Yarrowia lipolytica: one gene and its partner. The protein of the gene in region 2 interacts with the protein of the main gene of each other region in a pairwise test. Links are inferred from orthologs where the notes say so. Each region holds a gene or a part of one and is shown on either strand. Other genes may lie near its edges.

The links.
Region 1: the proteins of YALI1_A17720g (region 2) and YALI1_F03428g interact in binary tests that used the Saccharomyces cerevisiae proteins (3 or more experiments, as listed by UniProt). The link is inferred for Yarrowia lipolytica from reciprocal best matches to the Saccharomyces cerevisiae genes ERV41 and ERV29.

The regions. Positions count from the first base shown.
Region 1 is NC_090775.1:340,812-344,361, reverse strand, and holds YALI1_F03428g (uncharacterized protein), read right to left. Parts: upstream 1,486-3,550; coding exon 517-1,485; downstream 1-516. Other genes in the region: YALI1_F03452g (uncharacterized protein), read left to right, coding at 1-148. UniProt on the Saccharomyces cerevisiae protein: Constituent of COPII-coated endoplasmic reticulum-derived transport vesicles. Required for efficient transport of a subset of secretory proteins to the Golgi. The C-terminal di-lysine motif is required for exit from the endoplasmic reticulum.
Region 2 is NC_090770.1:1,770,509-1,774,318, reverse strand, and holds YALI1_A17720g (uncharacterized protein), read left to right. Parts: upstream 1-2,284; coding exon 2,285-3,298; downstream 3,299-3,810. Other genes in the region: YALI1_A17724g (uncharacterized protein), read left to right, coding at 1,690-1,804, 1,877-1,977; YALI1_A17671g (uncharacterized protein), read right to left, coding at 3,516-3,810. UniProt on the Saccharomyces cerevisiae protein: Constituent of COPII-coated endoplasmic reticulum-derived transport vesicles. Required for efficient transport of a subset of secretory proteins to the Golgi. The C-terminal Ile-Leu motif is required for exit from the endoplasmic reticulum.

The DNA of each region.
Region 1 (3,550 bases), on a different chromosome or scaffold from region 2:
CCGAAACGACTGGGAGCGACGAATTCCTTTCCGACGAATGGCTGAGCCCGAGGAGTTTGGAGGCCCTATTGTCTTCATGGCTTCCGACGCCTCCAGCTACATGACCGGCCACGATCTCATTGTCGATGGAGGTTACACCATCTGGTAAGCAAAAGAATAGACTAGTATTATATACAATACAATCGATAGATCTGATTGGCGCAAGTACAAGTAATTCATTGCATGTACGAGTACTTTGATTTAGGAGTACAATAGTAGCAGGTAATAACTCGTACTCGTTACAACTGTAGCACTCAGATAATCATTCAATCATCAGTAATTAAAGCCATATCTACCCGTGGATACATCTTTCATTTGTGGCTGTTATATTATTATTCACTATTTGAATCAGGTGTAACTCATGACATTGCCACTCGCGAACGACAGACTCTCCTAGTATACATTATTTTTACATCGCGGTAGATGTCAATGTCTGTATCAAACTCTACCAAAGTGTTGTTGCTGACTAGTAATAGCTTAGTAGACCTTCTTCTTCTCGTCAATGGAGATTTTGCCGGCTCCGGTGTTGACAACCAGCAGAAGACCGCCAATGATGGACAGGGTCTGGAAGTGCTCGTACTTGAGGTAGTCTCGGACGGGAGAAGAGGCGGGGAAGGCCCAGTAGGAGTTGGCGGTGATGTTAAAGATGAAGAGGATGATGCACAGGAGGAACGCGGAAACTCGGGCCTTGAAGCCAACAACGACCATGGAGCAAGCAGCAATTCCGACAATGGACACCAGAACTCGAGACATAGTCCAGGTCATATTGAGGATGAAGGAGGTGAACATGACAACCAGGAGGATTCGGCCTGCCAGGAGCACGTACTTGGACCGGTCCTTGTCGTCAATAGAGGGGAGACCAGGGAGACCTCGCTTGGACTTGTCCTTGACAAAGGCGTCGTTAAGAGCGATGAAAAGACCGCCAATGACGGACAGGTTTCGCAGAATGAAGCCAAAGTCAAAGATGAGGCCGTAGGCCAGAGCCTGGGTGACAATGACTCCGACCAGCAGACCGCAACCGACCTCAATTCGCTTCTTGGCGGTGACCATGAAGGATCCGGCGATCATGGCAACCACGTTGAGCAGCAGAAAGATGACGGTGATAAACTTGGGGATGTGCTTGAAGTTGGTGATGTAGTAGACCTGGTCAGACCACTGTGTGAGGATTCGGAGCGCGTCCTCCAGGAAAGTGACGACAATGAGGAACCGGCCGAGGGTGGGAAGATGGGGCTTGACCGGGCCCGAGTACTTGTCCAGGAAGACCTCAATCTTCTGGGTCACGGCCTTGACCTTGTCGGCAAAGTCGCCCTCTGTGATTGTGGATTTGAGGTTGAAGTCGCGGTTCTGGGAGTAGGACGAAAACTGTTGACCCTGGGGGGCTGCGAATTGCGGCGCGTCGCTCTGGACGGGTATCTGGTGGTATTTGGCGGTGCCTCGGATCGACATTGTTGTATGGTGTGGTGTTAACACAGGAAGATTGTGAAAGGTAGAATATGTAATCTTGTGTGTGCCAGGTGGTCTTTCGAGAGTTTGTTCAGATCAGCATGCCCACTTCGCTGCAGTAGCCAAAAACAGATGTGTGGAATGGGAAGGGTGGGAAGCTGGGACTAGGCAGGGTAGTTGTAAGTGGACGTTGGAGGGCTAATATATCTCCGTTATTCCGCCATTGCGTGTCCTCTTATACAGATTGGCCACTTTTACGGCGATGACATCTCCCATCTTGCTGTTCTCTTCGGTTAATTAATTAGGTCATCTCAAACTACAGTATTAGCTACAGTCCACGTCATGCGGCGGCAAGCTACTGTATTTGGTGGGGTTGGGGGGGAAAGGATGTTTATTACTGTAGAGCAGGCCTGGCGTAAGCTACTGTATAATGGCTGAGGGACGCGAGCATGGGTCTACGACTCATATGTAGGGCTAGATTGACTTACGGGCTCAAGTGATAGGAAAGGGCTTGTATACGCAGTAAAACACACGTTAATAAATAATTCAATTGAATCAAACAATATAAGTACAGTACGGGTACCCCAGATCGTCTACTCTATCGGTTGTGTCTCTCGCAATACAGCGTCCCTTTTTCCACCTCACGGTTTCACTTTTCACGCACGTCCCCAAACCTTTTTTAGCCGGGTCAAACAATGACGTGGCATCTGAAGGCCAGCTGGCTGCACTGCGTGCACACGGGAGGTGTGAAAGAGAATGGCTTCGAATGGGGTAAAGTGAGGCCATATGGGGCAGATGGGCATGTGCTACGAGAGCATGAGGCCGGTAGGGGTCTAAATGGGGTATTTGACTTGATGCAGATGGCAATTGTACGTGCACCGAAGCGACGTGACTCTCAGTTGAATACTGTTGTATACTGCCGTATACACTGTCCGAGGTCTATAGTGAGCAAGACTGATCAGTGTGGAAGTATTACTAACCGAGACTTAGTTGGGATCCTACAACGGTCTCAAGTAGCTACTGTAACGCGTCCGTCTCCTTGTTAGGAAAAAGCCCGTCTTTGCCTTCACAATCACTCTCTCCCACTCCTACACCAGTACGATACTTGACAGTGTATCGCATCTTAGTTGTACCGTAGTTTCACGCTCATTCCCCTCCATTGTTTTGACACGCTGGTCCATCGAACCTAAGACTAAATCCGATGCACGCGAATCTCCGGAGCCAGAAAAAACAAGCAGGGAAACGACAGCGAGACTAGAGATGGTATTGTAAGTGAGGAAAGTCGGTTGAAACTAGTACATAAAGAGTGGGGCCAGGCGGGTTGGTGGATTATTATCTTCCAAATGCTCGAAGACACGTGTATAGCTCATTATCTTCCCCCCCCCTACTCATCAAGCTTGGGTCATTGTTGCATTTAATGTTGTGCATTTCCAAGCCACGTGACCCGACAAGCGTTACCCTCCCTGACTCTGATGATGATTTGGCCTTTTTCGTCCCACAACCAACACAAACTCCTTTCTGGACTAATTGCAGCACTCAACCCAGACAGTCTTATTCATTCGATTTTGAATAATCAAGACTTTGTCATTAACTTATTGCATTTTATCGATTGCGTGAACTAGAGTGAGTATCTCTCGACGATGGATGGGCCCCTGGAGCTCCTCCATTAATCATTTCCCAGCACCTAGGGGTGTGAGCCCCGAAACACATGACAAGATACGATGAACAGAGGTGTCCCCAACGCCATCGACCAGCAATCAACATGATCAAACAGCCGCCATCCATTCCGACACCGAGGCATACACTTGTGCCATTTTTATTTGCCGACCTCCCACAACGCCACCGTGACAAAACGACACGTTTATCTTATGGCTATGCACATGCGTATCATCATGTATGATAGGGCACAACAACAGGGGGGGGGTTCGGGGCAATCAAAGGCAAGCGAGGATGGATGGAAGCCAAGCAGTACACGGATGGCGTCGTGTTTGACACTTCATACTCTCCACGCCTGTGCTGTCGCTGTCTGATTGCTCGCGTGGCTTTCTTTATTTTTCATGGTGCTGCA
Region 2 (3,810 bases):
TATCTAAATGCGCTCGGTTGAGTATCCACTTTGGGTGGGTCGGTACGATGAAATGGCCAAAGCACATGTTGGTTCTCGATGAAAGGGGATTCGATATTTCTTCCACTTCCCCAGTCTTACAGTATCTCCTTGTCATCCTTGTCACTCTTCTTTGAGACCTCCCTAGTGCCTAGCCTTGTACCTGTCGGTTAAGACTAGCCGCGGAAGATTCCGAATTGGCTACAAGTAGCTCAGGCACACCAAGAGACAATTTTTCCGAAACTGACCGAGTTGCCCCGGAGCTGGTCGCCTTTAGCTGACATGGGTCGCCATATCTCCTGACCTTCGCGATATGAAAACTTTTCCTTGTCTTGGCGCTGACAGCTGTCAAACCGTAGCAGCCACCCCAACCAAGGGCAGGGATAGGGATAGGGATGTTGTTGTAGCCGTTGGTCTTGAATATTGTTGAGAAAAGAAAAAGAAATCAGATGTTTCCAAACGAGTTTCATAGACGAGTTTCCGTGGTCAGTTTTCTAGGATTTCGTGAGCATCTTCTCTACTGTCTGAGATGAACGTTGGTATGTACAGAACTTGAACATGCACTATGAGTCCTCTGCGCAAACTGTACCCGGATCACCGAGGACACTTGTCACTGAATTTTGTCAGAAATGCAACGTCAGTGATACTACCATCTTTTTTTTATCAGATTTAGCCGAAAGCAATGCGCTGCTCTCTACCCCACACTCTTAACATCAGACTCTCAACGGCAGCCAAGTGGAGCAAAAAGAAGCCAAAATATCGACTCTAGTCGGCGGGGAATGGCAGGGGTCAGAGAGTTGCTCCGCCTACTGTATCTGTTGCATAGTAGCCATTCTCCTTCTGAACGCCGCTTAGAATGATTGTTTGTGTCTGTAGGAGGAGTGTCAAGTGGGGACATTCGGTGCTCAGGCGTGATTTAAAGTAGATTTTTGACATCTGGGGGGCGTGGGTGAACTGTTGTAGGCCTTTTTACCGTCTCTAGAACGGGTTTTGGACGAGTTTTGGGTTTTTTTTCGCCAGATCGATTTTTCATATTTGACCAGATATTGGAAAAACAAGGTTGGGTGTTAAAAATTCGCGGTCCCTTGGCCCAGTTGGTTAAGGCGTCGTGCTAATAAGAAATTAGCCTCTTTGCAACGCGAAGATCAGCAGTTCGATCCTGCTAGGGACCAATTTTTTTATTGATGGAGAAACCGCGGCACATATCTGTCATTTTTTCCTTTGTTCTTTTTCCTAGATTACGCATTGTACGATACCACCATACCTTACCATACCATGAGTATCGTACGATACATCCGGGTAACTTCTTGTGGCATGTTCGGGGCACCATGACGATACTGTATACAGCAATCTATGATTCAGAACATGGAGATGAAACAGACAGCTGAATCATGTCGTATCGTCACGGAAGTCCAATTCGGTTCATCTCTGTAAGATCTTTGTTTCTACATATCAAGCCACTTGCTTACTGTACTGTATGTACTATTCGACATTGACACTTGATCTTGTAGCTTCGACGCTTGTTGAGCAACCGCCCCGCACTGGAAATATGTGGCCCAAATGAACGCCTCGGCATGTACGATATGAGGCGAGTATTTGTAATAACTGCTGTTTGACTCTTTTACTTCTTTCTTCTTGCAACATTTTCAATATCTACAACCAAAACACACCATGACCGGAGCCGCCTCGACCATCACCTACGAATGTCCCATTTGCCAGAAGAGCTACTCTCCGGACGCCTACACCAAACACGTCCGGGAGTGCGTGTGTTCGTATACACGGGAGAGTCAGAAGTCTGACGATTGATTGGAGGGAAGATGAAGAGAGTTGATTGTTTGTATTTGACACTAACTCGTAGTTGGGCTGTATCGTGATTGTATCGTAGGTCTCTCTCTAGCTGTAGGTGTCTCCACTCAGATTGGTTGTGCTTCGGTTGATCTATCGAGAAGCGTCAACTAATAATTTCAAATTAATCAACAAAAATTGTGCAGTTTTGTCAAATTAGTGGACGGTTTTGTGAGCGTTGCCGTTCGGTTAAGAGGAGGTCAAGGGTCGGTTAAAAACGGGATATTGCGCCGGATAATCAAGAGTATCTTTGGGGCTAGGTTACTTCCTGTTAATACGTCGCTTCCAGAAAAACGCGGACAAATCCTATCTCACTGCTCTGACATAAACTAAATCATGCATCTGAGAGGCATGTCTATGTAGTGTCAGAGCATATGGCCAAAGCCACCTCATCACTAACAAAACGATCCAGCACCACAACATGTCTGAAAGCTCGACCTTGAGGTCGTTTGACGCGTTTCCAAAAGTCAACACCGCGTACAAGCGACAGTCGACGCGAGGCGGACTCGCCACCCTGGTGATTGGCGTCCTGTGTTTCTACTTTCTCTGCTCCGAGCTGCGAGGATACTCCAACGGCCACGAGGAGCACATTTACACAGTGACCAAGGACCTGGCAGAAACCATCCAGCTCAATGTGGACGTGACAGTGGCAATGCCGTGCAAGAGCATCAAGGTGATTGCTCAAGACTACTCCGAAGACACGTTTTTCGCACACGAGCTGCTCAATATGCAGGGCCTGACATATGACTTTGGCACAGACCGAATGCAACACGAGATCCACAGCCACAAGGCGTACGAGATGAACAGTAAGACGCTGAAAAAGAGCAAATTCAAACACACGCGAGTGGGCTCGCATTCTACCGACCCCCACTGTCGAATCTCCGGCTCGGTGCCCATCAACCACGTCGAAGGAGCGCTCCAGATCTTCAATCTGCCCGACAATCAGTACTTCATCAACCCCATGAAGGCCTCCGATGGTCTCAACTTGACTCATGCCATCCATGAACTGTCGTTCGGAGATTACTTCCCAAAGGTGCTTAATCCTCTGGATGGAGTGAGCACCGTCACCGACGAGCCTCTCATGTCGTACCAGTATTTCCTGTCGGCCGTTCCTGTGGAATACAGCTCCGGCAGAAAGAAGATCCACACCTACCAGTATGCCGTCAAAAAACAAACCACCAATCTGCAGGAGCACTTTGTCACCCGACCGGCCATCTTCTTCCATTACAAGTACGAGCCTGTGACTCTCAAGATCCAGGACTCGCGCGAGACGTTGACCGTGTTTGTCGTCAAGCTGCTGTCGATTCTCGGCGGCTTTGTGGTCTGTGGATCGTGGATTGTTCGAGGAGGAGAAAAGGCCTACGAGAAGATTGTGGGCAAAAAGCTGAACTACGCCTCATTGCACACTGGAGGATTGTTGGATCGAAAGAGCTGATCAGGGTAAAATAGAGCACATAGATAGATAGCGGTTTAATGGCATTTATGATGATTTCCGCGTGCATTGACCGAGTTCGATGCTATGAGGAGTATGGTTCGTATTGATGAACACCTCCAGGAATCGTTTCCTTCTCCACAGAGTAGAACATATGTCAACTCTGGACTGTTAGGCCTAATTACACCAGTCAAAACAACTCGTCTATTTCTATAACCACCTAATAAGTATCGATCATGTGCTGCAGGAGCTTTGCAGAACTGATTGGACTCTTCTTCCACACCTTGGACACGCCTCCTTGTTTGGGACTGTCCATCAGCAAAGGTGCAAACACGTCCAGAGCCGTCTTGAGAGTCATGGCCTTTCTGTCTACCAACAGACGGATGAAGGAGCAGATGTAAATCATCACGTTGGCATTCACGTTGGGCACAGCCTCCAGAATATGGGCAGCCACGTCCGCAGTATTGTCCACTCCTCCTCCCATAAACGGAATTCGGCTTCCCGTGCCTGCTGCG